Lonchura striata: one gene and its partner. The protein of the gene in region 2 purifies or fractionates together with the protein of the main gene of each other region. This does not show direct contact. Links are inferred from orthologs where the notes say so. Each region holds a gene or a part of one and is shown on either strand. Other genes may lie near its edges.

The links.
Region 1: the proteins of STK11 (region 2) and COPS4 purify together in Homo sapiens (affinity purification with mass spectrometry; 4 studies listed by BioGRID and IntAct, with this or other methods). This does not show direct contact. The link is inferred for Lonchura striata from reciprocal best matches to the Homo sapiens genes STK11 and COPS4.

The regions. Positions count from the first base shown.
Region 1 is NC_134606.1:60,962,273-60,978,484, reverse strand, and holds the start of COPS4 (COP9 signalosome complex subunit 4), read right to left. Parts: upstream 5,740-16,212; 5' UTR 5,654-5,739; coding exon 5,577-5,653; intron 4,487-5,576; coding exon 4,407-4,486; intron 3,642-4,406; coding exon 3,490-3,641; intron 2,467-3,489; coding exon 2,363-2,466; intron 1,596-2,362; coding exon 1,442-1,595; intron 329-1,441; coding exon 178-328; intron 1-177. UniProt on the Homo sapiens protein: Component of the COP9 signalosome complex (CSN), a complex involved in various cellular and developmental processes.
Region 2 is NC_134630.1:6,448,612-6,464,006, forward strand, and holds the start of STK11 (serine/threonine-protein kinase STK11), read right to left. Parts: upstream 7,384-15,395; 5' UTR 6,466-7,383; coding exon 6,176-6,465; intron 1,154-6,175; coding exon 1,070-1,153; intron 1-1,069. UniProt on the Homo sapiens protein: Tumor suppressor serine/threonine-protein kinase that controls the activity of AMP-activated protein kinase (AMPK) family members, thereby playing a role in various processes such as cell metabolism, cell polarity, apoptosis and DNA damage response.

The DNA of each region.
Region 1 (16,212 bases), on a different chromosome or scaffold from region 2:
TCAAAGGCAAAGACACTGAACTAATCCAACTCTGAGCTAACAGTTTGCCAACACGTAATTCTGACATCGTGTTCACAGCTTTGGATTCCTCACCAAATTTTAGTCATACAAATAATACACAAGCTGACTTGTTTCATGGGAAATACCTTTTACACAAAAATGTGAGGTGTATTTTACCTGCTGATGCCAAAATAGTACAATGCAGCGCGTGTTTCAGTGCCTCCAGCCGCTCAGTCTCATGGACTATGCTCTTGTAGGACAGCTCGTTGTACCTTTGGGCAGCCTCAATGAACTTCCTTCTGTAGTCAAGTACTCGAGCATAGCAAACCTAGAAAGGAAGGACAGCTCAGAAAAAGAAAAGCAGCAGAGGTGGCTGCATAACACAGGTGTGTAAAATGTGCACACTGTCAAGTGATTGCTCCCATAAATATTGCTCTTCTGCGTCCTAGGGAAATGTGTGCCTTCAAAGAATTAGCTTGACTTGACAAGTCCTTGCTAAAGTATCAGGGAAATCAATTGAAAGGACATTTCCCACCACTGTTCACATGTTAAACATTGCAAATGTTGAAAAGCCAAGTATTGAGCCTAAGCAATTGAAATATTGTACAGCTGATACTGCACTTGTGTGAGTTTCCCCTTCACTACTGGCACAGACAGCTACCCCTTAGCCATTTATGTTTCAAGTATTTGCTTTTCCCTTTCAGCACAGGAACATCACCTGATAGCTCTTCCTTTCTTTGTGCTTTTCTAAGATTCACAGAAAATATTTACACTTTCAACCGAGTGCACACTTCAAAACCTTATATAGGATGAAGGAAAAAGGAAAGGGAAGTCAACAAACAAAAACCACCAAATGCTGAATTACTGCTCATGGCACATCTGCTTTGTGTCACAGAATTTTAAACATTACCACATCTTGACCAATTCTGCTACACTGTTGTAATTACTGCTCATCAGTTACTAAAATGGTTTGAGAAATTTGTGTATGAACTATGTACACAGTAAACCCACAAAAAAGCAGAAATGTCAGCAGTCAATTTACTACTTAAGACTTTAAGCTACTTTTATGTATGGGACACTTAATTAGTGGGGGGTGGGAGGTACTACTGTCTCTAATATTTTTGTAGCTTTTTCCCCCCACTTATATTTATAGACAAAGGTGGAGGCAATATTTTCAACAATATTTCAGATTTTTTTAGCCTAGTTTTTATTTTCTATCAGTAAAGCTGGCATTTATGGAACCATTACAGAGTTATTTCCAAATGGTAAGGAATGAGCTGTTTAATAACTGTTAAGATGTGTCTCTCAAGCTCCCAAAACCATATAGCTTTTCCCTTTGTCTCTTTTCTCATGATGAAAGTTCTAGTGGCAGTGCATTAAACACCTCAAGGTAGAATTGTTTCCCTTTAGAAAGAGAAAGTAATAAAGCAGGTTAGACAACCTTATAATGGATTTGCAGCTGTTCATTAGTTGATTCATTCTGAAGCAGGGAAGCTCGATTGATGTAAGCTTCTGCTTGAACTGGGTCATCATCTTCCAAATACAGCCTGGCAATTTTCAGGTAGGTCTCAAGCTTATAATCTACATTGTACTGCCTGTAGAAGAAAGAAAAAAGCAAGTCTCAGAGTTGTTCCAGAACTACCTTTGCTCTTAGCTGCTCTAACATTTGTTATGATTCTTAAGCACTGGGCAACATTCGCTTTACCCTGCTTTCTTCTTCCCTACTGCCAAGTTAGTGCTTTCTGTACAAAGTAAGGAAATTTGAAATGAATGCAAATACAGAACTGGCTCCTGCAAACACCACTAGAAATAATGATGCCCACCAAGACACAAATGTACACTCTCATAATCAGTTTTTTCTGAAGTTTGCCACCAGTGATGAGCCACTTGAGTTAAGAATCAACCTTGCAGTGCAACAAATAGGTCCAAACAGGCAAAACCTACAGCAATTCCTTCTATGTGCACAATGAGAAAGGGGAAAGGACTGACTGACAAGAGAAAACTAACTGCAAGGGTTCTACACCTAAAAAACCCAAACAAACTAAACTAAAACACACCTCACCTCACAAACGCACAAAAGAATCCCCAACTACATTGGTTAATATCCAAATCTGGTTTCAAACCATCTCTTAATTCTGAACTGAGAAGGTGGACGCATTGAAAAACTGCCACCTTCCAAGGACCTTTCAGTAACTTTAGAAACACTTCCACAAAAGTACTATCAAAAAGACTTGTTTATCAAGAAGAATAAATAATAGTGGGTAACTTCTGGTGCAGCAAACCCCAAAATTCTCACTTGCAGGTTTAGTTCAGTACAGAGAGGGCAGGTATAGCTAACCCCACAGAACTGGGTATAACATACTTTTGCCCAGTTTCCAAAGGGATCCCCACCAACACTTGTGCTGCATTTCTCCAGTCTTCTTCTTTCTCATAGATTGATGCAAGATGTTGCCTTATTGAAGCCACCTGAAAGACAATAAAATCAACAGCAAAAGTAATCATCATTGATAAAGCTTTTAAAAAGATTAAACAAATCTTTCACGAACTGGAACACCAAGAATCACAAGCCATTTCTTGCAGTTACATCTCAAATCATGCATGTGAAGTAGGAATGAGGTGATGTGTGATTAGATCCTAATGAAGAAACTTCTGCTTTGGAGGGCAGCTGTCAGCAGGTAAAGTATTAGTGCTTACAACCTGGGTTTTTAACCAGAAGTGTGGGTAAAAAAAAAGAAATCATCTGATGTGTTGGATTTAATTTATGCATGATGAATGAATCACATGGTGAATCACATGCAAGCCTGTTTAGCTCAGAGTAAAAGCTCCTTAAAAAAAGACAAAGAGAAGCAAATAAAAATCATGGCAGAAACTGCCTTGACTTTCTACTCCAATAATAGATCCTAAGGCCTTTTTATATAAACAATTTCTCTAAGAACTCTCAGATGATACTATGCATTTGGACAACAAAACACAGAATTGAACTGACAAAGCAAACCAGCATATTCAGTAGTTAAGCAGAATTGCATTCCAAGAAAATATTTTTTCCTGATAAAATGATTATGGCCAAAATAAACACACAGAGAAAATTTATTTATTTTGAAACAAAAGCTATTTTTCAAGGTGCATGCTCTTCACACCACCTGTCTGTTCTACTGCTCAGGTAAAAGGCAATACAGTGAGTAGCAGCCTGTCTCTCCAGACACCTCCCCCAGCTCAAGGACTTTTTCATTGTAACAAGCCAATTAGGGAAGCAGAGGAATTATGTGTCCATCACCATGATAAAGTGACAGCCTGTAATCTTTGCACAGTCCTAAGTGCTCTCTGCATTTAGCTCAGGTTTTCCATGTACAGGACTGAAAAACCAGACTCTAAGTAGAAATAGCTGTTTTGAGCAGCTTTTTGAAAGACTTGAAATAGTCAGCAGACAAGGAGGGGAAAAACTAAAGCCAAACCCATGAGCCAAAACCCATCTCACCATTGATCTCTCACCTGTTCTTCAAATGAAATAACTCTGGGTTGTATCTTTTCCAAGGTGAAGTGGTAAATTTCTTTGGCTGTGCTGTCAGGGAGATTTGGAAGATGTGTACAGAAATCTGTGAGCAGCTGCCGTGAGATCACCAGACTGACATTCTCATTCACCACTGGTTCAGAGATGCACAGAAGAAAAACACAGAATAGAGGCAAAATTTTGCAGTGCCTTCACTACAGGTGATAATTTGCTTTTACATTTAATTTGAATATTTAAATTTTAAAAACTATGCAAACAAAGGGGATTTTTTTTCTTTTTTTTTATAAAGGTGGGTCATTCTTTTCTTTCAGAAACTGTTTACACTAGAGGTCACCAGACTTATAACTCCTGGCAGATAAATTAATTTTTCATCTGATTTATAGTCCTCGGTTACTGAAATATCTTGGACAAAGTACCTGTTTGGGCTAAAGCTCATTGAGATTATTCTCAACTTTAAAAATTATAGCAGATATAATTTACAGAGATGTTCAACAAGCCAGACACCCAGTACAACACAAAACAAACAAACAAACAAACAAACAAAACCCCTAACAATTTCTTGGCAGTTTTACAAATGGATGAAGAAAGAGGCTGTCAGTTTAAATACCACTTGGCATCCAGTATAAACTTCAGCACTCAAGAGAGACTGCTTTGTTTTCACCTTTCACTGCTGACAGGTTGGAAAGCTGTAATAACCACAAAGCTTACAAACCCATTCCCTCTTCACTTCTGGATGTGGTGATGAGGGTTCCTCTTCCTGTTGTGTTTGAGTTCCAACAGGACAAAAGTACATTGCATTTACACAGTCTCATGTAGAGCTAACAGACACAAATACACAACCCCACATAGCTCTGGCCTTCACTCACTGTACAACCACTCACACCACTTATGCACTTACTTGCTTCTACAAAAGCTTTCAGAGCTTCAAGCTGCTCCACACCCGACAGCTGAATGGCTTTTTCCAATATTTGACGGTACCTGTCCATAAATAAATTTTAAAAAGGTGTTAAAAACCACACATTTTTTCACTAAGAGCTTCTGACTCTCTGTGTACTTTCTATGTCAGAGCCCTATTTTTGCTCATATTTCCTATACCTTGAGATGGCAATTCTCCAGTTTGCTCCCAAGTGTCATGAACATTCACCTGGAATTGGTACTTGGCTCTTCTTAAATCCCGGGACTAGATTCTCAGATGACAGAGCTCAATAATTTTGTTATCTAAGAACATACGTGCAATTTTGTAAGTTTAAAATAATAATAATAATAAAATGCCCAGGATAGCACATTGAAAAAATAATGAAAACTGTATTGCTCATAGATTCAGATTAATCAAGGTAATCAAATGTTCAAAATGCCATATTCAATGTGACTGAGAAATAGTGTTGTGATAAATATTGTTACAGCCACGTGACACCAACACAGGTGTACCCCACGTGTTTTCAAGAGTTTATTTTGCAAAAAACACTAAGTTGTGTTTTATTGTTTCAGCAAGCTAATGAAACTTTTCCTCAGTGTGTGTCACACCGATGAAGTACTACATCCACGTGGAAGCCACGTTTTGAGGGGAAAATTTGCAAGGTTTTACACGAAAATCCTACAAGTGACACAGCCCCCCTAGAACACAAGCAACTGGGCAGGGAATCAAAGAATTCCAGGTGACAGATCCGCTTCTGACTGCACCCTGGGAGTGAAAACCTATGTGACACACCGCACCACGAGAAGCCCAACCCCTGTCCAAAACAGGCGCCTAATGAAAAGGTAATAATTCTTCACAGTAACAGGAGGGTCGCTGACACACACACGGCAGCAGAGGAAAACAAACTCCCCGGCCTCTCGCTGTGGCACACCCAGGGGCAGCAGCAGAGCCCTGAGGGAGGCCGAGCGGACACCTGGGAGCCCGTGAATGAAAAAAACCACACAGCCATGAAGTGAAACCTTTCTGTCTCCTCTTTTATTCCAGAAAACGCAGCCGCTGGACACGACCCACCCTCACCCCCACACCCCGCGGGCGGCTCGCACCGCTCGCCCCAACGCGGGGAGGCGGCAGCGGAGGCGGCCGGCAACTCACTTTCCCGCCAGGTCCTTGTGGGAGCCGCTGGAGTTCATCAGCTGCGCCAAGTCCTGCCTCACCGCGCCCGCCGCCATCTTGGGAGCCGCCTCCCCCCACCATGGAGCCGCGCGCGCCGCCGGGGGGGGTTGGGGAGCGCGCGTGTCACGTGACGGGGAGCGCGCGCAGGCCGCGGGAGGGGCGCGGGCGGGCCGGCCCCGCGCGCGGTTGGTTGGGCTGGGGGGGGGATATCCCACGGAGATAAGGATCCCACGGGATTTCCACCGCGAGTGGGATGAGGCCGGACCACCGCCGCCTCCTCCTCCACGGGTGGCGCCCGCGCGCGGCCCCGGAAGCGGACGGCGGGGAGGGGCGGTCCCGGAAGCGCGGGGCGCTGCGCCGGCGGTTGCCAGGGCGGCGCGGTATTATGGGATGTGGCGGGGGAATGGCGCGGGGCGCGTGATTTTGAACAAACGCGGCGGCGGGATCGGCGCGGGCGCGGCCGCCGCCGCCGCGGCCGCCGGGAGCAGCACCGGGGGGCGCCGGCACCGGCGACAGGCGCCGCTAGCGAAGGAAGAAGAAGAGCGCCCGCCCGCCCGGTGAGTGCGAGGGGCGGGAAAGCGGCGGCGGGAGGACAGGGAAGGGGGCGCGGGCACGGCTGACAGCCACCTCCCGCCGGGAAGGAAGAGGCCCGGCCTCGCCGGGCGCTCTCCCTGCGGAGGGCCGGGCTCCCCGGGATGGCGCGGACAGTCGGTCCCGGCCGCCTCTCCGCCGCGGGGGTGCCCGCCTGGCGCGTCGCCTCCCCGCCGCTCGCCGGGGCCAGCTGCGCGCGGGGGCGCGGCGGCCCGCGGAGCGGCGCGGTTCCCCCGCGGAGCGGCGCGGTTCCCCCTCGGAGCGGGGTCTGCGCGGGACCCGCCGGTGCGGAAGGGGCTGGGGTTCGCGGCTCGGGGGCGGCGCCGGGGCGGGGCGGCGGGGGCAGGTGCGGCGGGGGCGGGAGCGGCGGTGACGGGCTGAAAATGGCGGATCTTTCGAAATGCGGCGGCGGCCGCCGGCGCTGACGGGCCCGGGCCGCTCCCGCCAGGTGAGAGCCGGCCCGGGGGGCGCGGGGGCAGCGGCCGCACCGCGCGGGGCCGGCGGCCGCCGGGGCTCGCCGCGCCGGGCCCGGGGTTGGCGGGGCCCGGTGCCCCGGCCCGGGGCAGCGAGTCGGGCGGCTCCGGGGCCCGGCGGCTCGCCGGCATGCGGAGTTCGGGAAGAGCGGGGCGCGGCCCCGGGGGGTGAGGACGCCGCGGCTGTGTCAGCGGGATGCGCGCTCCGGCTGTGCCCCGCGGAGCGGGTGCGGTGCTTCCACAGCTCACCCCGTGCCGGCGCGCAGCTGTGGCCTGGGCGTGCGCTGCCCGGCTGGGGACAGCCCCCAGCTCCAAGGGAACGTGTCCGCTTCTGGTCTCCTCAGCACAAGAAAAACAAGGAACTCCTGGAGAGGGGCCAGTGGAGGCCACGGTGATGATAAGGGATCTGGAGCATCTCTCGTATGAAGAGAGACTGCGGGAGCTGGGCTTGTTTAGTCTAGAGAAGACTGATGTCATTAATGCATATAAATATCTCAAAAGCGGGTGCCAAGAGGATGGTGCCAGAGTTTTGGTGATGCTCAGCAACAGGATATGGATAAATTGCTATAAGCAAAAACACAAGAAGTTTCACCTCAACATGAGGAAGAACTTTATGTTGAGGGTGGCAGAGCATTGGAACAGGCTGCCCTGGGAGGTTGTGGAATCTCTGTGGTCTGTGTCCTGTGTCACCTGTGCCAAGTGGCCTTGTCTTGTCAGAGAGGTAGGACAAGATCATTTCCAGAGGTGCCTTTCAAACTTGACGATTCTGTGAATGTAGCCAGACCATCTTTTGGGTTAGTCCCAGTTTTCTTGTCACCATCTTGCTTGTTATGAGGTATATCAGTATTCAGATTGTTTTTAGTTGTTTGTGGCTTGAATTTGAAGCATGTCATGTATTAATTATGCTTGATATTGAGGATTTGGGTTCTGGAAAGCCTGTGGCATTGAGACCACATGAAACTGTCCACTGAAATATACTGTAATCAGGAGGAAAGCTCTCAGAATTAAGATGTCAGGTGAGGAAAGGACAGATATTTTCATTACCTTTCCTTAGTTTCATCCTTCTGAACAGTTTCTTGAAATATATTAAGGTTGCTGTAGGAAATACTGACTATAGAAAAATAACTTGAAGTGTTCTTTGCAATGTTTACATGAAACTGGCAATAACAATCAGGTTACTCAATCCTTGAGTATGTGGTTATCTTCTTCACAATAGCTGCTGGCATATTGGAGGCAAGAAGAATAGTAGGATATCAGCTGAATATATTTCTTCTGTCAGTGGAATCTTTTTGTGAAATAAAATGCTTTAGACTTGTGTTTTTTTCTTTTTAAATTATTATTTGTCAGGATATCCAGTTTACACCTCTATCACTGAGTTACATGTTAGTTACATGCCCTGTACAGAGTTGCACCAACCTAGAGAGAGATGTGTGGTTGTATTTCTCTGTAGGCCAAACAATCTTACAGGCTGGCTTGGAGAGTGTGTTTGAAAACGCAGCCCAGCCTTCCTAATGGGATAAAAATGTACATTATGCTTGTTGTGATGGCATAAGCTACAGCAGTGTGTTATGCAGGGCTGCTTGTTCAGCTTACATATCAAGAACTATCTGCTGAAGTTTGGTTTGCTTATACTTTGATGTCCAGCTCAGATTGCTTGTAACTAAAGGCTCTGAACAGTTCTGTCAGGATTCTTGAGAAGTTTTAAATGCTTTCAGGTGGAGTACCGGCAAACCACAGGTGTATAAGAAAGGTGATGATGAAGAGTACTGTCAGAATTCAGCCTTAGAGATGTTGTTATCTTGTGAATTACAATATATTTTATTTTAGATTTGGAAAAACCCTCAAAGCCCCTTAGGTTCCTTTCCCTTACACTGGCTTGTTCCCTTACATCAGAGCTAAGGTAGATTGGAGGGGTTGTGTTTTGATTTCTGCTTCAGCAACAAACTGTGGTTCCTTATCTGTCACTTGGTGTGATTGTTCTCTATATGTGCTATAGAGGTAGTGCTCACATGCTGTGAGAAGCACATCCTAATGTCCTGCAGAGGCTGTGCACTACAGCAGTGCAAGGGTCTGGTGGGCCTCTTCATAGCAAGTACCTAGGAGATAGACTCTGATTTTTTTTTCAGGTTTTTTATTATTATAATTATTTTCAGGAGCTCCCAAAGAGAAGTGGAAAATGTTTCTTGAATTCTTGTTTCAAAAGTTTGTATTTTGCCAGGCCTTTTAGATGAATAGCTTGGTTTCCTCAGTTGCTCAGAAAGCTGATAAGCAACATGTGGCTTTCAGTACAGCCTGTGACTAGGCTTGCTCACCTGACAACATTAGAAATCTGCAAAGGAATATTCTTGCACAAGAAAGAGGGAGACTAACAAAATAATCGCTTAGTCATGGGGTGCAAAGCTATGTGAAGTAGAGATTCCCATGTTCCAGATCTGGATGTAGGTTGGCAGCTCCTTAATTTGTGCATCACTCCCCTTCAGAAGCTATCCTGCTATTGGACGTGCTGCCCATGTGAGGGGTATGCCCTTGGTGTTGGGCTCTGCTTTAATCTGTTGTATGCGTTCTAGGTACCTACAGAATCCCCATTTTTAGGGACTGACTTGTTTTCTTCCTGGGCTGGACACCATTGTCAGTGGCATGGAGAAAATGGGTTTGTGACAACCTACAGTTGGTTTTGGATGGCTTTGTTCCTGCCTGGCTCCTTCATCTGGGTTGCTCTTGCAGCTCTCAGTTATACAGATGTTTGCTAGCACAAGGAGGGAAAATGGATGGAAACAAAAAGGCAGATGCTGAAGGCGGACAGGAGACCTTTAGCAGCAGTGCTGGCATAGAGCACAGAAGGAGTTGAAATACAGGGAAAGTAATACTGCTGCTCGTGTACACACAAAGTAGCAAATGATGGTGTTTGAAGTAACTGTGCAATAAAGGTATTGCTAGGATATTGCTCATACTAAGTCCTATAAAATTGTAGCAGGTGCTTTTTTTATTAGTGTATAATTATCAGTTCATTGACATATAAGGAGTTTCAGCTTTTTCTTTTCCTTTTAAAATTATAATGGAAGCATAAGTGACTCAGAACTTGCCAAGGGAAGAAGGATCTCTTCATAACTTGTATGTGGACAAGTTTGGTTTTTTTTTTTCCTCTATCCAGTCTTAAAAAGAAATCAGCTAGCACCACCATTATAAACATGGCAGTGGGAACATGAGCTTAAGCTATCTTCCCATGGAAAAAAAAATGAAACAAACCCAAAAACCTCAACTGTGTAATATAAAATTCTCATGTACGTATCATTTTACAAGTGTCAGTTTAAACATGTAGGTGTTGCTGATTTGTGTACCTTGCCCATTCTTCTGATCTGCTGCACACAGTTGTTTGTGCGGTGTCTCAGGCAGCAAGCACTCACTTAGCAGAATGTAGAGTAATGGAAAGGGAATGGTGTGCGTTGGTTGAGGGAATTATGGTTGCCTTGGGAACTATTTTGTGACTATAGATGGTTAATTTGTGGTAGAAGAACACCTGGTATTAAATATTCCTTGTAACTGTTGGAAAAAAGACTGGATACTTACACTGGTAATGTATTCAGCATCTGATAAGGAATGATGTTGAGTTTTTTTCCTTCCTGTTGTATGCCATTGGTATTGTATTTTCTAAACCTAGAGCTGCGATCCTTGGGGAAGCATGTAGACAAACTGCCTCCATGACTTGTCTTATGTGGGCATTGGGAAAGAGAATGGAAATTTTGTCTGTGTTCCACATACATATTTTGTTACTGTGTTAATGCTTTCACTCTGCTATTACATATGCAAACATGGTGAGTTTGCAGTCTTAGGTGATTAATTTTTCCACTTACCCTTGTTAATCATAGCTTCCTCATGGATTCATCTTTTCCTAGTTTCATGACACGTGTTTTATTAAAGCATATCTAGCTTAGTAAGCTTAAACAAAAGCCTCTCTGTTGAAAAAACACAGTGCTGAGTGATTTTGTAATTCTTTGCTTTATGACAAAACAAACTTTTCAGTTTTAGAGACAAAGCATGGAGTGTCAGAGAGAGTAAGAAAATGGGGACGCCTAAAATGAATGACACTGTTTTACCCATTATTGGAAAAAATAGCAAAATTGAAGAATGGCAGTTAATTAGGAGAAATGTAGTACAGCAAGATCACCTACATGCAATTGTGCTCTTTTGTTTGACAACATGTCAGCAGAGCAGGGTGAGTTTTTATTATATATATACTTCTGTGGAGGCTTTTCTAACGAATGAAAGCATGTCGGGTGTCAATAGTTTCTTAAGAACTGCATTTCCTATTTTTTCGTGTTCTTTGTGAATTTCAGTTGCCTGAAATAGTTGATGTGCTTGTTTGTATTTGTCAAAAAGGGATATGAGAACACGGCAAATAAGGAGATTACCTAGCCTGTTCTTTAGTTTGTTTTGCTTATAAAATGACCCAATAAAAGGATTTGTTTTCCTCTTGAAATCAACTTAGGCAAACAAGTGACCTTCACTTTCTAAACGGTGACTTGATTCTACTTTGCATAGGTAGGTGTTCTAAATCCTTTGCATTAGCAAGCAGTCAAGAATCTCTGGGAACTATGAACCTTGTGCTGTTATGCATTAATCTTCTCCTAAAATAAGTTTTCTCTTTGCTGGGAGAATTCCTGGACCATTAAATGACCAGTGGGTGTTTTTCCATTTGTAGAGATTAGTTTTGGTGCCAATAGTGTGAACTAGCTACACTGCAATGACCAGCAAGGCTGTAGTCAGTTTTGCAGTCAATGATATTGGCAAAGTTTGTCACTCCTGTTTCTTGTGGACAAAAACAAACAAACAAAAAAGTGCATTTCCCCAAGAGAGAAGCAGAAAATAGGCAAGAGGGAGACTACTTGTGAATTTTTGCCATTTGGAATGACTGGGAAAAATAAGAGCTCATTCTTTGTTGAGCAGGAAGGTGAGTTTTGATGTTATGTCAGCAAGAAGAAGTAGGTTTAATAAAAGGTTTTGACAAATTTGATGTCCTGGATTCTTAACTAAAATTCTTAATGGCATTGATAAATGCAGATGCTATAAAATTTTACGAACAACATCCCATAGTTATTTTCAAGTTTTATTGCTGCTGCTGAGTTGGTTTCAATGGACTGTACGGTTTGACACAGAGCTGTTTGGGTGTGTGTCCTGAGCTGGTTTGTGGGAGAATTTACAGAGTGACAGCCTGTGATTCAGGTGTGTCCAGCTCTTTGTGGGTGTGTGGTGCTGTTCACTGTGTAGTGATGAACTAGGGCAGCTGAGTCACACAGAGAACCAGCCAACTTACAGGTCAGCTCCAGTGTCCTGCCATATGTTAATCAAAATTATGAACTGACAAAAGCTGTCCAAAAAAAAAAGTTGACAAAAGCTTCATTTGTATATACAAATTGGTTTTAGATGTAGTAAAGAGCTTGATCTTCCTACATTAAAAAAAGCCAAACAGCTTTTTTCCATGAGAAAATACAGTTAAGTCTTTGCATACTATTGTTTCTTCACTTAGTAATTCTGAGAAGGAGATGAACATTCTAGATCTGTGTCAACTCGGACAGTGTTGACTTGTTCAATGGGTGGTTGAGCATATCTGCCATGGAAATCAAATTTAGAAGAGTATTCTGTAAAGACGGATTTAGGGCTTTTCTCAAGGCCTGCTGCTTGTTTAGGTTGGGTATTAGGAAAGGGTTCCTCCCCCAGAGAGGGATTGGGCACTGGAATAGACTTCCCAGTGAGCAGCATGGAGAGTGCACGCAGAGCTCTTCTTCCTAAGCGGCATTGGCATCTTACCTTCAATAAAGCTTCTCCAGGGATAGAATAAGATACAGTGTCAATACATCGCTGCACCACTTTCAGCGTACTGAAAACAAAGGTTGTAAGAGATACAGTGTAGTCCTAGTCACTGAAATGTTTCTTTCTGGCTAGTCCTGTCTGTAAGTTTTTGGGGTTTTTTTGAAGTGCTTATCCAAAGCTGTTGTCTTTCTTACCTACAGCTAATGAAACTTAAGAGTTTGTGTCTCAGAAGCTCTTGTTATGTTATGTTATGACATATGAGACCTCAGAGGTCTGAGCAGCTTGCATTTGAAGTGACCCACACGGTACTAGAGCAGGGATGAAGATTCCACAGAAATTCCTATTTGTCCTGTTGAATTGATCTCAACTCAAAATCTTAATGTGGAATTTCATTCCACAAAGGTCAGTCAGCTATTGCACAATCATAGTTGTTTAAGTTTTCCCAAAAAGAATGCAGAAGTGCTTTAGTATCTAGGATTGAAGGGGGAAGGAGGTGTTAATAGTGGTTTTTGAAGGAACTTGAATCAAATCCTGGTTTGCCTCTAGGTGAGCTATTTATCTTCAAGCTCAGCCCTTCTGCAAGTGAATATATTCTGTACTTGTGGAGTGTTGTCCTGTTTAAAGCTGGTAGAACTGCTGAGATTGCAGCTAGAAGCATGTTTTCCTGCAAATCACTGCAAGGTAACTGCTTAGACTATCTTTGTTTTAATGCTCTACTTGAGTAAAAAATTAAGAAAGCCAACCTAGATAAGTTTAAAAAGTGGTAGTGGCCATAGCAGTTTTCACTGCTGTTCAGATCTTGACAGCACTACCTTTAAAGCACTGCACTTTTTTGTCTTAAGGTTTTTCTCTAGTTTTCATTTCTGTGGTCTAGCTTTGAAAAGAATCATGATTGCAGAAGCCACATAGTGAACTAAGCTTTCAGGACAAAATTTTCTATGCCATTATAGCATATTTTTTTGAAATTAAATACCTCACTGCAATCAGTGTACTGTGGGAGGTTTTTGTTTCAGTTAGAATGAACTTCATGTGTTGTACCTAATGGGGCAGTGCTAGTGTAGTATAGGTGAGATGCACTTGGATCATCATTGTGCTTCCCAGTTGGCAAAGTCTCAGTAAAACTGGTAGGTTAGGATTCTGTTATGATTAATTCTTGTTCATACATACAGCTCTAAAATGTACTCTTGCTGACATTGCTGGCAGCAAGCCTGATCTTAAGGGTGTGCAATATGATAACACCTGCTGAAAGTCTGTGAGGAACTTGATATCAAGTCTATGATGGTAGTTTTCACACTTGTTGTTCAGTGTTCATGGTGTGATATTGCTGTGTCCTCCGAATTCTTCTGTAGCCTCACATTCAAGGAGTGTCTGGAGTTTGGAAAGCACGACCTTTATTTCAAGCTGTATGTAGAAGACAAAAATCTGCCTTTTTTTTTTCTTTTTGGCCTAGTGATAAGCACTCCTCACATTTCAGGTGTGTTTGATGTTTGGTTTTTTATCAGTCAAGCTAAGTTCACTACATGTTTATTCAGTGTAACTTTAGATTCGCAGTGCCTTACTATTGGTCTACTAAACACAACAAAAAATTAAATGACTTGAAGTTATTTTAGAGCTTTTTACTTTTGGTCTCACCCCAAAGTTTGTATGGAACATAAGGTTAGAAGCACTTGATTAAATGTAAAGACCCTGGAATCCACGAACCCAAAATTTGTATTGTTCACTGTAGTGAACACCTTCAGAATGTATTTAGTGGTCATAGCACCTGTGCAGTTCTGTGTTTTGTGCTATGGCATGTTTTGAAAATGACTGAAACTGGCATGCAAACCAAGGGAAAGGTGAAGGGAAATGTTCTCATTTTTAGTTTCTATTTTATTTTTAATTTGCCTAAAGCTCTACTTGAAAGTATAACATTGTTTCCCATTACAGAAACAATCTGAACTGCTTTGAAGTATTCTGCATGGAATGTTATTTCCAGTACTTTCCTGGAAAGTTGCTGTGAGTGAGGTGTGTGGTAAACAAGCAGTGTTTAAGACTTTAATGACTGAGTGCTTGAAATTTTGTTGTGTTTTGTTCAGTAATACTGCTCAGTACCTCTCAACAGCTGGAATGTTCTTCTTTAATAATCTTATTTTGTAATAGGTCGTACCTTTGGGCAATGTAGTATTTTCTTGTGGTGGAAAGGGGCTTGTCCAATCCACAGCTAGATATTCCTGTGTTTTGAAACGCTGGTTTTCTAGGAAACAATGCAATCACTTGTACATGTAATGTAATTCAACCATTTGCAATTTGTATGACATGTTTCTTTTATCCAAAACCTAGTTATAGCTTTTTTCCTTTTTCTTTCCACCTTCCATTTTGCCCGAAAGGCTCTGACTCATGGGGATTTTTAGTTATGTACTCTTTCTAAGGACCTTGTTAGTTTAATTGTAAAAATTGCTTTTGTACTTGGTGTGCGTTATTGTATTTCTATGGTAGCATGCTGAGATTCCTTCTATGTGAGAAAAAGTTTTGATGTGAAGAAAACAGCTATAGGTCACAGGATAGCTGAGTCTTAAAGTGTATTTGTAGCAGCTGTTGCGGTGAAGGAAGAAGATGCAGTTGTGTAAAACATTTCTATTTTGAAGACAGTAAGACATTAATATTTTTGAAAACTTAATTTTTTTTTTCTTTACAGTGTGTCTGCAAAGAACATAATCTCTTTCTTCCTCTCTGTATTGAGTTTTTTGGGCAGGAGTGGGTGCTCATGTTTTAAGCGTCCTTGTCAATATTTTGTACTATTATCTGTTAATTATATTGGATAATTGCAACATGCTTTTATTTTTTATTTCCACTGGATTGTACTTAAATTGTTGCACCTTCTAGCTGCTCAGAGAATCACAGAATGGGTGGGGTTGCAAGGGATCTCTGGAGATCATCTAGTCTAACAGAACCTAGGGCAGGCTACATGTGTTTGTGTCTAGGTGGGTTTCTGTAGAAGAGGACACACTGCAACCTCTCTGGGCAGCAGTTCTAGATAGTGACCCCACTGTTCCTAAATCACCCCAGGATGCCATTGGCCTTCTTGACCAGAGGGGCACACACTGCTGGCTTGCATGAAACTGCTCTCATGGAACTCCCAGGTTCTTCTCCACAGAGCTGCTTTCCAGCAGGTAAACCCCCAGCCTGTACTGGTGTGTAGGATTATTCCTCACCAGGTGTAGGACCCTGCACTTATTTTTGATGGATTTCATTATGTTCCTCTCTGTCCAAGTCTTACTGAATTGTAGCACAATCTCTTGATGTATTAGCCATGCCTCCCAGCTTTGAATCATCCACAGACTTGCTGAGGATGCACTCTGTCCCTTCATTCAGATCATTTAACAGGTTCAGCAGGACTAGACCCAGTACTGACCCCTTGGAGAGCACTCCTGGCTGCAGGCCTCCAACCAGACTCTGCTCCAGATCACAACCCTCAGTTTCCCTCTTATGACAACTTTAGTCTAAAACCCTCCTCACCATCCAGACAAGCCTATGGACAAAGATCTCTTTCCTTTCTCTATCAGATGGATCCCCCAGTGCCACACAGACCAGGTTTCTGAAGCAAGTCCCATGGTCTGAGCACACAAGCCCCAAGCAAAGGGAGTAGATGGGGCTGCCTTAGCATCTTTCCTGCTGTGATGGGTGTTTCCTCTTTGTCTGCAGAGCAGTGAAGCAGTTTGGCAAGGGCACCTCAGCCTTCGGGAGAAGTCTCTTCCTCCTGCCAG
Region 2 (15,395 bases):
TTTTAATCACCAATGGGGAAGTTGACATCTTCCCCTAAACCCCAACTCTGCCCCTGTGCATGACTAAGGGCCCTGCCCCCAGGGCAGCCTCAGGGAAACAATCCCTCTTCTGCTGGATCTCTTCCCAAACTTGATGCTCATGTGGCTGCTCAAGGTCTGCTCTGTCACAGCCCAGGACACGCAGCACAAGCAGCAGCACCAGTCAGGAGCTGGGGAAGGGCCTGAACAAAATCATGGATGAATTCCTGCTGCAAGTTCCAGTGAAAACAAATTCCCCCAATTATTGCCAGAATCAGCACAGGGAGAAATGAACTTTGTGAGAGTGTAGAAGCAGATAAAGATAAAAATAACAAAGTCAACCTGTCCTTGAAAAGAAAAAGCACTGAAAACCAACTCTGGACCAGCACTGCTCAGGAAGTCCAGCAAGGAGCATCCTTGGAGAGATCCCATTTCCCAGTGATGGTTTTGGGTTGTCATCACCTGGTACCAACACACGATGTCTCTCTCGGGCTCCTTTTCCCCATGCTGCCTCCTCCCTTCTACCTAATTAAACAGGATCTGTCTATCAATAATTGACTCACAGTCCCCTCACTCTGTCGAGGCCACAGCACAAGCAGAAGTTGTCACAATACTTTATCCTAATGATCTGGTGGCAGAGTGTTTGATCTAATTAATGCACACAATGAAATTAGTCCTTTTCTGGAGTACTGTAATAAGGAGACAGTAGTTAGAAAACACTGTCAAAAATAAAAGGATCCATTGATAACATATGCTACAAAGGATCAGATCCAGGAACTTCCCCAGTGGTTCCAGGCAAAGTGTTCTCAGTGTTGCAGAGTCACACAAAATCCAGTGAAGTCAGGATAAAATTGCCTTGATCAGTATCTGTGTGAATTTGTGTTTGTGTGGAAAGTCTGCCAGGTAGGCAGGATGGTTATTAACAGTGAAATCAATTTAGCTGCAAAAATTTAAGAAAAAGAAACATCCAAAAGGGCCTTTCCAAAAGCAGAACTACAGCAGAGAACAGTGGGAGTTCAAACCTGATCAACAGCCCTGTGCAAAAGGATATATTTTCTGCTTCTCCTCGTTGTACAACACATCTACCAGCTGGATGACATTTTTGTGCCGTAATCTCCGCAGGAGCTGGATCTCCCTGCAGGAATAGACAAGGAAAAAGTTACATTGAAAAAGCTTATTCCCAACTCCATCTCTTCCAAAATTTCACCCAAACTCAGCTTGATTGAATGGCTCAGAGACCTGAACTGAATCTTTTGTTTGTGGGGAATAAATAAGGTAAAACAGTGAGGAGCCACCTTCCCTTGGCTTGGGGAGGAGTCCCTTGAATGTCACCTACTGTCAGCTGTTCTGATTTTTGTCTCCAGGGATTTTGTACTTGCCCCAAACCACGGTTTAGTCTCTTTTGCATTAAACTCATCCTGCAAAATCCCACTGGATGCCAGCTGTGGAGAAACAGGCAGAGCAGGACAGTCAGGTCAGGGTGGTTCTGTTGGTGCCTGGCAGTGCACGTCCTGCTTTTCACTTTGTTCTGCTGCTGCTCCATCCTGGGCTGTGCTGAGCTTCCAAATTCTCCTTGCCAGCTCACTTCCAGAGAGATTTGGCCAGTGCTTTGAGCAGTGTGGTCACACTTCATCAGCTCAGCCACTGGGAAGCAGCATTACAAGGAATTCTGAGCACAGCTTTGGAAGTGAGAGCCCCTGCCCAAAGCCAGCTCAGAGCCCCTCACGGGCACAATTAGCAGCTCCAGTAATGAGCTGGGGCTCGCACAAAGGCTGAGCAACAACCAGGAGCTGCTCCTTGGAAAGAGCTTCTCTGATGCAGGAGTGCAAGGAGAATCCTTACTGATCTTTTACGGATGCCTGAGCAGTATGAATTATTTCACTACCAAAGTTAAGGCCAGAGACTTCTTTCTCAGCTCTGGATTTAGAAGAAGCCACCAAGAGCCGAGCAGAGACCCAAGATACCACAGCAAAACTCCCAAGTATTGTGTGGACATGGCAGACAAGTCTAATTATAGGAATGACCAAAGGGCTGAAGGGGATTAAATTAGCACAAGGAACAGCAGCCACTGTCAGTGTGGAGCTGAGGAGATCGTGCAGCATGAAAGGGCCGAGGGCTCCAACCAGGGCTGCCAGAGGGGAGCAAACCCACTCAAACACAACTGCTTTAAGGCCCAAGTGTTTGGAACACATTTAAAATCCTGATCCCAACAGCTCATTCCCTGTAATACAGCCCGGAAGCACAAACACTAATTCCTCCCACCTTCAACAGACTAATAAATATCTCATATTTCTGTAATGATTTTTCCCCCCCCAGGAGGCCTTTGCAAACCAGTCCAAAACGCCAGGGCCATGCCCCCACCACTGGGGCAGAGGCCAAGCCACCCTTTTCCCAGAGGAAAGATTACTTCTATTTTTAGCTCCTCTCTTGCTCTGGAATGCCTGAGGAGCAGGGACAGCCAGCCCAGTCACCTCCGATCCCATCTCACTTTGCAAACCCCTGGAGTAGGGGAGCACAGGTCTCACCTTCTCAGAACAGGCCTAAATTTGATTTTTTTTTTTCTTTCAAAACTACCAACAAAACTCCACCACAGCTCACTGCAAGTGTGTGACCAGACAGACTGCCAGAGGACAAGACCTGCTTCCAAGTACAACCCACTGGAAGGAGACGAGGGGGGAAAAGACCTAACTCGAGCTCTGTCAGATCCATTAAGCTCATCCTGGTGGATTAAGACTTATCCCCTGCAAGGTACCAGCTCTGGCAAATAACAGGGGGTGTTGCTGCTCAGAACTGTAAATAGCAAAGCTTTCCCCCTTGTTCCATGTGCCACACCACTTTGGAACATGCCAAAGGCAGCCAGGAAAGCAAACTTCCTGGACATCTCCACTGTGAGATCCAGCTTGTTCCGAGCCATTCCTGCCTCAACAAAACCCAGCAACACAGCCAAAAGATTCATTCCCTGCCTTTGGTTCCACAAGGTTCTTCCCACAACATCCTAAAAGCTTTAGAAGTGCAGCACCTCTCCAGGACTGTGTGAGCCCAAAGGCTGGAAGTGCCAGGAAGATTTCGGTGTCACTTTTTCTCTTTCCTAGTCCCAAGGGTCCATCCACATCCTGCTCCTGCAGGGATGTCTGGCATTCCAAGTTCTGTATCCATCACAATCTGTGCTCTTCCTTGGAGTACAGGTCCCAGCATTTCACCCAAGCAAACATCCAGCTGAGCAGAGGAAACCCTTGAGCCACACGGCTCCACGGGGAACATTTCTGAGGAGGAGGGATCAGCCCATTCCCTGAGCTCACACCTCCAGGGCTTCCAGCAAGTCCTTCCCCTGTTTGGAGGTTCCAGCATGGGACTTGCAGACCCCAGGAACAAACTGTCCCAGCACAGCCCCATAACCCAGGTTGACCCTCCGAGGAATTCCCAAGGAGCACAAATTCCAACCAGAGCAATTGCCGAGGTGGTAAGTACAGCACAGGGCACTTGGGATCCCACAGAGCCCCAAACACTTAATTAACGTGTCAGGCTATTAGCACACGGCATTATTAAACCTCTGTTGCTGCTGCAGCCACAGGCTGCCAGGTTTTCCTGCCTCTTTTTGGCAATCCCACTAAACTCCTTTTTTTTGCAGGGATGAGATTCTGCAGTGTCTGCCTGACTGAGCCACCTTCACCTGCTCTAAAGAGAAATGAAGATTCTCCCAACAGATTTAAGGAAACTGTGTCTTAAAAGTTCAAGCCCTCAACATCCTCTCCATGACTTGGAGAGCCCTTCAGGGCTCATTTTTCTGGGGCAGAAGTGGAGTATTTTGGGGTAGAGAAAAAGCATTTGATTTGATGTAAGTCCCAAACACATTTAAGTTGTAATTTCTGGGTCTCCAGAACACCAGGAGAGAGGGCTGGGGCAGAGATGAGGCTGTGGCCTGGGATATCAACAAGGAGTGACCTAAGGTTGGCATTATCATCCTATTTCCAGCCAAACATCTCCAGCTCAGACCTGTATGAGCCTCCACAGCTCATTACTGCACTCTCATTCCTCCCTGTGTGTTACTGCTTGTGGAATTACCCAGGGGCCACTGTCTAGGAACTGTATTCCACGGAATTCCTTGGATTACATGCTATCAGCACAGCTGAAGCAGCACTGAGGTGCCCTGTGAGGGGGCAGAGGCAGGAGCCCACCACAGTAACTCAATCACCTCTGCCCAACAACCCAAGCCTCATGTGCAGCTTTTCCCTGTGGTAGGAAACGCTGGAAACCACTTCAGTGATCAGATTCCAAAAGCGAAAGCAGAACCCACAAACTGATCCAGCCCACAAACTGATTTCCTGCTGTCCTGTGCACAGGAGCAGTTTTTGGGCATAAACTCCTCAAAGCTGCTCCAACACAGTGATCTGGCCATGTTGACATTAAAATACTGTGTCAGTGTCCTGTCCAGCACTACCTGGAGACTCCACAGCACCCTGTTCCTCCCACATTGACAACTCAGACACACGGGTTTGGTCACAGATCTCATACCCAGAGCAGACATAGGGTGCACTCCCTCTCACAGCAGTGCTGATCAGCTCAGAGTGCCAGGGGGACCAGGGAACCACAAAGTACAACAGTTTGCCTTAAAATTCCCCACTGAAGCAGCAGATAAAGCACACGGATAGGTGGGCAGAAGGAAAAGGATGAGGGAACAGAAATAAGAACTTGAACTAAAGTAAACCCCTGGGTACAAGGCAAGACCTAAAATCTGCCTTGGTGTTTTGGAGCAGGTGGGGCTGAGCCAGGAAACATCCACAGAAAGCCCCTTTTAATAACTCCCTTAATGGCCCATCTGATACTCACAGCCCCATTCTGGGCGTGAATAAAACCTCCAGGAGTTCACGTCAGGACACTGGAGCATTCCCATGGCTCTGAGAGCAGGGAACTCTCCTGATGTGGGCAAGCTCTTTTACCTAATTTACATTGAAAGCTTCCCTAAGGAGGAAACTATCTGCACGTTCCCCAGTGGCAGCTCTGGATGTGCCCGTGGAGGGACCCAGGGACGGGGCTCTCAGCCTCCACCAGAAAAACAAGAAACATTTTATTACACATTAACCAAGTTTGCTTGCTCCTGAACCTGAGCCAGGAAAGGAGAGACAGGGAGGTCCCAGCCTTGGGATGTGACTGTTCCACAGCCAAGGCTGTCAAAAAAGGTTGGAAGGCAAAGTGAGAGAGCACCCTGACAGCAGTCCCGGGACAGGATGTGAAATATCCCACGGCTAAACTGGGAAATCAAACTGAGGGACAGACACAGGACTCTGCAGGTCAGGGCTCACCCGCAGCAGAGCACCAGGAGAGTTTCCTCGACCTCTCGGAGCTCTCCCTCCCAGCCTAGATAAACCCTCATGGGTTGTTTGGGCTGCAGAGGCTCCTGCACAGCTGATAAGCAGCTCCTGGCAGGGCTGGGACGCAGCTGCTGCGAGGTCCAGGGAAGGGAAAGTTCCCACACCAGCCCCACGGATGCAGCCCCACATCTGGCTTCTCCTGGGGTTCACTTCCATGAGGGTTTTGTGCCCTGAGTAACCAGGTGTGGTGGAGGCACAGAGAGCTGACAACCCTTGGCCCCATTTTACAGCCACAGAAATCAGCTGGGGAGAGCCTTGAGTAAACTCCCAAGGATCTTAGAAATGAAGCCAAGGAAAAAACCCAAAACTTCCTGTGCCCATGGGGTGCCCCATATATTGGATCCTGTTCCAGCCACCTTCCACATGGGTGGGAGGAGGAATTGCCACCACAGAGATCTCCAGGGCCTTTGGAACACACCTGGGCAGATACAGGAATAACCCTGTGAGGACACCAAGTGTGTTTGTAAGGTCTCACCTTGCCCAGGTGCAGCTGGCTGGGAAAGGTGAGAGGACACAGAGGAATTGCTTTAAGAATCAATATTTTATCCATTAAATGACACCAAAGTGGTGTATTCCAGACTGTCCCAGACCTTGGGAACCTGTCCCTTCCCTGTGCCCAGCCTTACCCAGAGCATTGGCTGCTGTTCAGAGGGAAGAGATCCCTAAATACCTGTGGATTAGGAAGCATTTCCACAGCAGAGCCATGCTGTCAGCTAAAACAACACAGGAGCTCAGCTGGTAAGCAAGGACCAAGTTCACCCCCTCGGCTCCCAGAACTCTTTACTCACTTTTTCACGTTGGCCTCCCCATTGGGGATCCGGCGCAGCTTCTTCTTCTTCAGGATCTTCACAGCTCTCCTGCACAGGGTCTCTGAGTCCAGCATCTCCTTGACTTTGCCATAGGAGCCCTCTCCCAGCAGGTCTCCCATGAGGTACTTGCCGATGAGCTTGGCCCGTTTGCGCCGGGGCTGGTAAATGACCTCGGTGGAGTCGATGCGGTGGATGAACGTGTCCATCCCCACCGACATCAGCTCGCTCTCAGCAAACATTCCCAGCTGCTGGGGCTCCTGCAGATCCATCCTGGATTAAGTTCCTTAACCTGTTTTTTTCCTTAAGCGCTCAGGGCTTTAATCCTGTTTGTTAAGTTTCCAACACTCCCTTTTTACTCCTTCTCGGGAAAAAAATATCCAGAAGATTGTACAAACATGAATAATAATTAAAAAAAAAACAAACAACCAACCAAAAAAAAGAAGGCAAAAAAAAAAAACAACCAAACCTAAGAGCTGCTTCCAGGTCAGTTGGATGCCAAAAGATCCCGGCCTGGCTCCAGAACGTCTTTGAAAAAGAACATAAATCTGTGACGGGACACACTCAGTTTGGGACTCACGTTGCTTCCGACCCGGTCCCGCTGCCGGGGGCTCTTCCCAGTCAACTGGCCTTGACTGGGCCCAGTTTGATCCTAAAGAGTTAGGTCATCTCCAGGCCGTCAGGCCACCCCGTGGAACCAGAGCAGCTCCCAGTCCCTCTCGTGACTTTCCATCCCTAGGAGCTCATGATTCCCAGCTGGGGTGGGCAGGTGTGCTCCCACGGCCCGGGCGGGGTGCGGGGGGTTCAGCCGTTGGGGAGCTGGAACCAAGTTTCCTCGAAGGAGTTTTCCGAAACAATTCTTGCGTCTTCGCTGTCGCCTACAAAAGTTTGAGGCCTTCGGTGCCTACCGAGAGCTCCCGGGGGCATCCTTCATCCACCGGGATTCCGCCTGGCACATGATGTGTCACCGCCTCTGCTCCGGGTGTCAGCGGTGCAGGACGACACAACCCAGCCCGGCCCCGCCGACCCCGGGGGGGGTCAGGGGGACCCTCTGCCCCAACTCCCGGTTCCTCCCGGGGGCACCGGCCGCCCGGTGACCGGCCGCTCACGGACGGGGCTCAGGGATGCCCACCCGGCCCGGACGGTCCCTCCCGCACTTCCCACAGGTGTCACCGCGGCTGGCAGGGCACGGCGGGGGAGCAGAGAGGGGGGACAGGGGACGGGGCACTTTTCAGCGCCACAAAATCAGCGCCGGGACGGGGCGGACTCCCGGGGGAGGGTCGGTGACCTCCGGGCCCTTCCCAGCCCGGGCCGGGTCCTTCCCCGCAGGCAGCTCCGGCCGCTCCCGCCGGTCCAAACGGTGAACTAGGGGAGGGGGGCTGAGGGCCGAGTCCCCCCTCCCCGTCGCCAGGCGGGGGAGCCGGGCCGGGCCCCGGCGCCGCGCTCCGCCCCGCCGAGCCGCCGCCTCCCGTGTCCCCCACCAAGTTCAGGGGCCGCCCGTCAGCCGCTGCCCCCTGGCGCTGCCGCGGTCCCGTTCCCCGTCCCGGCCGCGCTGCCCCGTTACCGCCCGCCCCGCCGCGCGCGCGCCGCCGCCGCCGCCGCCGCCATCTTGTCCCCGCCCGCCCCCGCCGTTCCGTCCCCCCCCCCCCGCCCCGCTCCGCGCCTCGCGCCGCCCCGGCGCGCGCCCCCATTGGCCACGCTGTCGGCCCCGTCCCCGAGCGCTCGAGCGCTGATTGGTTGCGGCCGCACCACGTCGGGTTCCGGTTGGTTCGTTACAAGCAACCCTCCCACCCACTCCGGCCGGCGGCGGGGCGATATGATAGGTTAACCGGGCTGTCAGTCACTATTAGAGGCGGGGATTCACGTGAACTTCATATGTGATAGGCCATTGGAAATATCCGTCGCGACCGAGGGCGGGGCTTGCGTCCTGCGGCGCGATATGATAGGCTGCGAGCGCTGTCAATCACCGCTCGGAGGCGGGGCGGTGGGACGTGAAGGGTGGAGGGCAAAGGGCAGGCGGGAGTCATGGAGACGGGACCGGGCACGGAGCCGGCCCTGCCCCGGCGGGGACCGGCCTTGCCCCGGCGGGCTCCGGCCTTGCCCCGGCGGGGACCGGCCTTGCCCCGGCGGGGACCGGCTCTGCCCCGGCGGGGACCGGCCTTGCCCCGGCGGGCTCCGGCCTTGCCCCGGCGGGGACCGGCCTTGCCCCGGCGGGCTCCGGCCTTGCCCCGGCGGGCACCGGCTCTGCCCCGGCGGGCACCGGCCCTGCCCCGCCGCCCTCGCGGTCCGCCTGCCGCGCCCGGGTCGCTCCGCTGCCGCTTCGGGTTTGGGGTGGCCCCGCTCCCCCCCGGTGTCCGCTCGGTGCCGGCTGCACCTCGTCCCCTCCTGCCCAGCTGTGCTCAAGTCCAGCCAAGCAGCTGCGAGGGCATCCCCAAAATAACGGCGCCCGGCTCCAGCGCCCCGGGCAGACCCCGGCACGGCCCGGGGGAATGGGCTTCTCCCGGGGCCGCCACCCCTTCACGGCCCCGGCCGCCGCAGAGACGCTTCTCCTGCGGGCACCCTCCGGGGGCTCGGAAGGATCGGGCTGCACAACGCTGCTCCCCCCGCAGCGGCGTTCAGGGGTCTCCTCCCGGTTTCACCGGATACCGGAGTCCCCTGTCCTGCTCGGGGAGTTGCGGTAGGACAGCTCCGGCCTCTGCCGTGCCTGCTCCCGCCGGGAACGTCGGTAACCGGTGCCGGTAGATGGGGTTTGTGCAGTGCCAGCTCAGAGGAACCGCGATGCCCCTGCGGCCGCCTCCTGCCCCGCTGTGAAACCCTTTGGCGAAAGGGATTCAGCTGGGATTGCAATGGGGAGCACCAGCTCCCAGAGCTGACCAGTTAATTTGAGGCAGGGCAGGACAAATCCCTGAATTCTTCCTTTCCATGAGAGCCATTAGCTCTGCATGAATTCCAAAGCACAGGTGGGAGAGCCCTGAGCCCGTTTTGGGGGGGCCTGGGCAGGATCAGGGCCCCCTGGGTCCCCAAAGGGTCAAAGCACTGCGACGCTCCAGTTTGTTCAAGGAATTTGGTTTGTTCAAGGAATTTGAGCCTGTGAAGGTTCGGGAGGAGGTTCCAAGGGCTCCGAAGAGGGAGTGTAGAGGAGGGGGCTGCTCTGCCGAGCTCTCCAATCCCGCTAGCACCGCCTTTCCCTCCTCCCTCAACGGCTTCTGTCACCACAGCCCCTGGCCCTGGGTGATTTATTTACTCCAGGCTTGGCGCCGAGTCCAAAGTTCTGGAACCCATCCCCGAAATTCTGGTAAGTGCTGTGCATCCCCTTCCCGAGGTGTTCCCAGCAGTGGGAGGGCAGAATCGGCTGGAGGAGCTCCTGGCACTCCACACGCTGCTCCCTGCCCATCCCACTGCCTGTTCTGCTCCCTCTCCCACCAGGGTGACAGAACGATCCCCCTCCAAAGGCAAAATCCTGCTCGACTCTGCAGGAATGGGTCACTGGAGCAGGGCAAGCCAAGAACTCACATGGGGTGTCCCCAGGTACCCCCAAACCCCTCAGCCTGTCCCACATTGGGGCTGTGGATGCATCAGGCAAAGCCAGAGGCTCTTGGGTTTTCCCAAATATTTGCACCAGCATCCAGTGAGGACGTCACAAGCTAGGGGAACTGGCTGACACCTGCCAAGCTTGTGGCACATGGGGCACTGCAGGAGCTGTCCCCTCACCCTCCACAGCCCAACAACCCGGCCAAGGGGGCACAGAAGGGTTTATTCAGACATGGAATGGTTTTGTGGGACCCTGGCACCCCAGCACGGTTCCTGCCAGGTCCCATCCATGCCCCCTGCACAGCGCCAGCCCCGCACTGCCAGGACCCTGCACAGGGCAGGGTCTGTCCCCTGGCTGCCTCTTCCCACAGCTCTGGGGGCACAGGGCCAGCTGGCAGCATGGCTCCACAGCCCTCACCCCACGGAAAGTCAGGGGATTTCCAGGCTCTGGGAAGAAACAGGAAGTGGCAGTGGGTGACAGCAGCCCGGCACACCCCAATGTGGAGCTGCTCTGCAGCTGAGCCCATGGGATCAGCGCCCAAAAACGCCCATCTTTGTCCCCATTTCCTGAGACTGGGTGTCTGACAGGGACCAGCTGCCTGGGAAGGGCTGTTCCTGGAGAAGCCAGGCTTTTTTCCAGGGACATTGCTCCTGTAAAGGGGCAAACAGACCAGGACACAACTCAGCCATGTCCCCACATCTTCCACCAGGGCAGGCACAGGACAGCCTCAGTGCTCCCAGCTCAGCATCACTTCTGCTTCATTGCCTGTCTTGGGGTTTCTGTGTGAATTGGGGTCTCGGCTGTGGTGGGAGGAGAAAGAGATCCTGGTAAGGGAAGTCCTGATTTGGTGGTTCTAGGAGGAGGCTGATTTGGTGCTGGATACATCCCTGTGTGTTCTCCCACTGTGCGTATTTATTTGTATTTGTGGAACACCAAATAAAGAGCTGGGGGGGAGGATTTAGAAGAAAGATCCCTGTAAGAAGGATGTTGGAAAATGTGGCAGGATTGCCTTGATTAATCACTATATGCAAATGAATAAAGAATGGGAGAAGCGGACCGGCACAGAACTTCCTGGTTCCCCCTTTGCCTCTGGCACACACCCAGCATTCCCAAGGACCCGGTGTTAATGTGGTTCCCATCTGCCAGTACTTCCTATCCTGGGGATAAATCAGTTCCCTCTGGCTGCTCCTGTGCTGGTGTAAAAACAGACCCATCCAGGAGGCTTCTGTGTGACCCCTCAGGATTTTGTTCCTACCTTGGGACTCCAAAGGTGGCATGAATTCAATGCAAGCAATGGGAAATTAAAAATATTAAAAGGCCCAGTGTGGGGAAAACGGGTGAGGAGCCTGGGATGGTCAGAGCAGGTAGTTCTCCAGCCCTGTGATTCATTTAATTCCTTCTGCCCCGGAGGCTCCCTCTGCCCCGTGGGTTCCTTCTGCCCCGAGCCTTTGCCGGTCTCCGGAGGCACGGGCCTCGCTGTCTGTTCATCACTCAGGGCCACCCTGGCCCGGTTCTCCCGTTCCCGCTGCCCCCGGGCCCGGTTCTCCCGTTCCCTGCTGCCCAGTCCCAATTCTCCCGTTCCCACTCCCCCGCTCCCGGTTCTCCCGTTCCCCACTGCCCCCGGGCCCATTTTCCCGTTCCCTGCTACCCAACTCCCCGTTCTTCCGTTCCCCGCTGCCCACTCCCGATTCTCCTGTTCCTACTCCCCCATTCCCGGTTCTCCCATTCCCGTTCCCCACTGCCCCGGGCCCGGTTCTCCCGTTCCCCACCCCCCTGGGCCCGGTTCTCCCATTCCCGCTGCCCACTCCGGTTCTCTCGTCCCCACTCCCCCGTTCCCGGTTCCCCCATCCCCACTCCCCCGCTCCCGGTTCTCCCGTCCCCACTGCCCGCTCCCGGTTCTCCCGTTCCCCACTGCCCCGGGCCCGGTTCTCCCGTTTCCCCACTCCCCCGTTCCCGGTTCTCCCGTTGCCCACTCCCCCGCTCCCGGTTCCCCCTTCCCCACTCCCCCGTTCCCGGTTCTCCCGTTCCCCGCTGTCCGTTCCCGGTTCCCCCGTTCCCGGTTCCCCCATCCCCACTCCCCCGTTCCCGGTTCTCCCGTTCCCCGCTGTCCGTTCCCGGTTCTCCCATTCCCCACTGCCCCGGGGTTCCCCACTGCCCCGTTCCCGGTTCCCCCGCTCCCGGTTCCCCCGCTCCCGGTACCCCATCCCCGCTCCCCCGCTCCCTGTTCCCCCATCCCCGCTCCCCCGCTCCCGGTACCCCATCCCCACTCCCCCGCTCCCGGTTCTCCTGTTCCCCGCTCCCCCGCTCCCGGTTCCCCCGCTCCCCCGCTCCCGGTACCCCGTCCCCACTCCCCCGCTCCCGGTACCCCATTCCCACTCCCCCGCTCCCGGTACCCCATCCCGGTTCCCCCGCTCCCGGTACCCCATCCCCGCTCCCCCGCTCCCGGTTCCCCCATCCCCACTCCCCCGCTCCCGGTTCTCCTGTTCCCCACTCCCCCGCTCCCGGTTCCCCCATCCCCGCTCCCCCGCTCCCGGTATCGCATCCCCGCTCCCCCGCTCCCGGTTCTCCTGTTCCCCACTCCCCCGCTCCCGGTTCTCCCCGGCTCCCGCTCGGTCGCCGCCTCCCTTTCCCCGGAAGCTCCGCGGCCCTCCCAGCATGGCGGACCCGGAAGCGGCGCCCGGCGGCGGCGGCCGGGCGGGAGCCTGAGCCGCGGAGCGCCCGGGACCCCGGCAGCCCGCCACCCCCGGACACAGGTAAGGGCCGCCCGCTCGCTGCCCCCGGGGCCCGCGCCTTCCCGCCGCCGGCCCGGTCTCTCCGCGGGCGGGGGCCGGGCTGGGGGGGTTCGCTGGGGACGTGGCCCCCGGCCGGGCCCGTCCCGGGTCCGTCGGTCGGTGCCGCGGGGAGTCCGGGGGCTGCGGGGCTCGGGCCGGGCCCGGAGCAGCCTGTGGGGACGGCGGGGCCGGCCCCGCTGCCGCCAGCCGTGTCCCCCACGCGTGTCCGTGCCGCGTGTGGAGCGGGGCCCGGGGCTGTGCCGGCACCGGAGAGAGCCGGAGGTGCTGCGGAGCCTCTGGAGCTGCGATCGCAGCAAAGCCCGGACCCCTCCAGCCCTGTCCGGATGGGGAATTGTCCCGGTACAGCCCGGGTGGCCACAGCCACGGAACCCTCGTGTTTCTGACTCCCTCTTCAGCTGCTTTTCCACGGAGCGCTGTGAAAACTGCACAGCGATCACAGAATCCTGGAGTGGTCTGGGTTGGAAGGACCTCAAAGCTCGTTCAGTTCCACCCCCTGCCATGGTCAGGGACACTTTCCACTATGCCAGGGTGCTCCAAGCCTGGCCTTGGGTTCCAGGGTTCCAACTTCCAGGGATGGGGCAGCCACAGCTTCTGTGAGCAATCAGAGCCTCAGCATCCTCCTCACAGGGAAGGATTTCCTAATATCCGATCCAAACTTCCTCTGTGTCAGTGTGGAGCCATGAATCCATCATGCACCGAGGTTCTGCTGTGGTGCAGCCCGTACTGGCCCTATTCAGAGTCTCTGCATTCTGGAACCAGTGATGTCAGACCATTAACTGGGCTGATACCAGAGGCTTCACCTTATTAAATACTAGTGCCAGGTCTAAAACTCCTCAGAGTAACCATAAATTCCAGTGTAAAGACTGTGGCTCCCCCTTAGCAGGCTTGATTTACAGTGGAAATGAGATGGGCAGGTCCTGCAGGTTCAGCACTGGCAACCCAAAGCTGGGATCCCAACCCCTGGAGGGTTTTCTGGTCCGTGCACTGGCCCTGGGGTGAGTCTGGAGGGCAGGAGGGTGTTGGCTGTGGTCGGCTGCGCCTCGCTGGGGCTGTTCCTGCTGCACATCATCCTCGTGTCATCCAAGAGTTGAGCTCGTCCTGAGCCGTACGGGAATGGCTGAACCAAGAGCAGCTGGTGGTGGGAATGTTCAAGTGGAAAATGGTGTGCTAATACTGATGCTGTGGGGTTGGGAGTGCTGTGTGTCCCATGCAGGTTTTGCAGAGCTCCATAAGCTGCCAGCTGGAGCTTTTGGAAGCCTGAGCTCTGCTATCTCTGCCAAAAGCTCTTTACTTGATGAGGGTCTGTTTTTTGGATGTTTGCACCCTCATTTTCCTAAAATAAGCCTGTACCCGTCTCATTCGAATGTTGCTGGGAGGTTTCTGCACAGGAGCAAACTGCGCTGGGACTTGTCACCATGAGAGTCTGGATCCTTCAGGAAAGCCTTCCAGGCCTAATTGGGAGGTTTATACTCTCCTGAAACACTTTTCTGCTTAAAACTTAAAACTCTGATGTCTTTTTTGGTTACACAATCGAGGTCTGCACAAGTGTGGGTGTGATCAAAGTGAACACATGCCTCTCACGGAGCAGGTGCACGTTGAATCTGCCTTAAGGCTGCCCTAATCCGTAGGGAAGTTGGCTTTGATGTCCTGAAGTGGTTTTTCTACCACGAGTGGCTGTGTGTGAAACAGAACGTTGGGACCTGCTCAGGTCCAGAGGGTTTCTCCCAAGTGTCTCTTGGGAGAGAAACTGGGGAAAAAGTGTAAGGAATCTGGGACCTGCATTTTCTTGGCTTCTGACCTTGCTTAGCCAAGTTTTTTGTGGAAGAGGAGCAGCCCCAGTGCTCCGAGAGCCCTGCTCAGGCTCTGCCTTGTGCTGGGGAGTGCCCAAAGCCCTGGTTTTGGGAATATTCCATGGACCCGGTGTCTGAGCCACTGCTTCAGCCCTAGCTCTGCCTTGCAGGGATGTGTTTGTGGTTTGGGAATGTTGGTGCTGGATGTGTGAGGGTGATGCTGGATGGATTTACACAGGAATGTGCCGAGTTCCTTGGCAGAGCGTGGGTGGTGTCTGGGAGGCATTTTTGCCCTGTCTAGAAATAGTTCTATGTGTTCTCCCAGGTGGAAAAGCAGGGATAGGTGGAATTTATCTCTGGGGGGCAGTTAATATTTTCTCCTAAAGGGTACTTTTCCCTCCAAAAAACTGTATTTGATTGTTTTTTCCTGTATGGTCTGAGTGTCAGACAAAGAGCAACAAGTACTGCTCGAAGCATCAAGCTCTTCCCTGTAGAAACTGCTGTCCTTGGAGGGCAGGTTTGTTCTTTTGCCTGCACTGCCACGGCGCTTGCAAGAATCTCTGGAATGATCCAGATTTTTCTTCCCTTTCCTTACAGACTAATTCCCTCAGTTAATTGGTGGCACGGATTGTTCCACGCTGCAGCTCCCTGTTGACTTGTGGTGCCCAGGCGATGCCGGGATTTGCCCTGGAGCCTGGCAGTGCTGTGCCCAGCTCCAGGGCTGCAATCCTTGTGTCCCAGGAGCCTTTTCCATGCTCAAAGCATTCAGAAGATCAGGGTGGCTCCAAGTGCTGGCTTAGGATGCCCTGAAATGATTCCATTTTTGTCACCCATAATACGCGTTTTCCGCTCTGGTGTTCTCCTTTGTGTTGGTGACGGGACTGAGTCCTATTCCCATCTACTTGTTTGGTCTGAACTTCCCAAAAATACATCAAGGAGAAGCATGAAAGAGGAACTTGAAGGTGCCTGGGTGCTTGAGAAGTAAAACTGGCTGTTCAGAGTTCCGTAGGGTTGACTTCCCATTTCTTTGGGGCAGTTACATCCAGACTGTATCCCGCAGAATTCCCTCCGGCTGCAGCTTTGGTGGG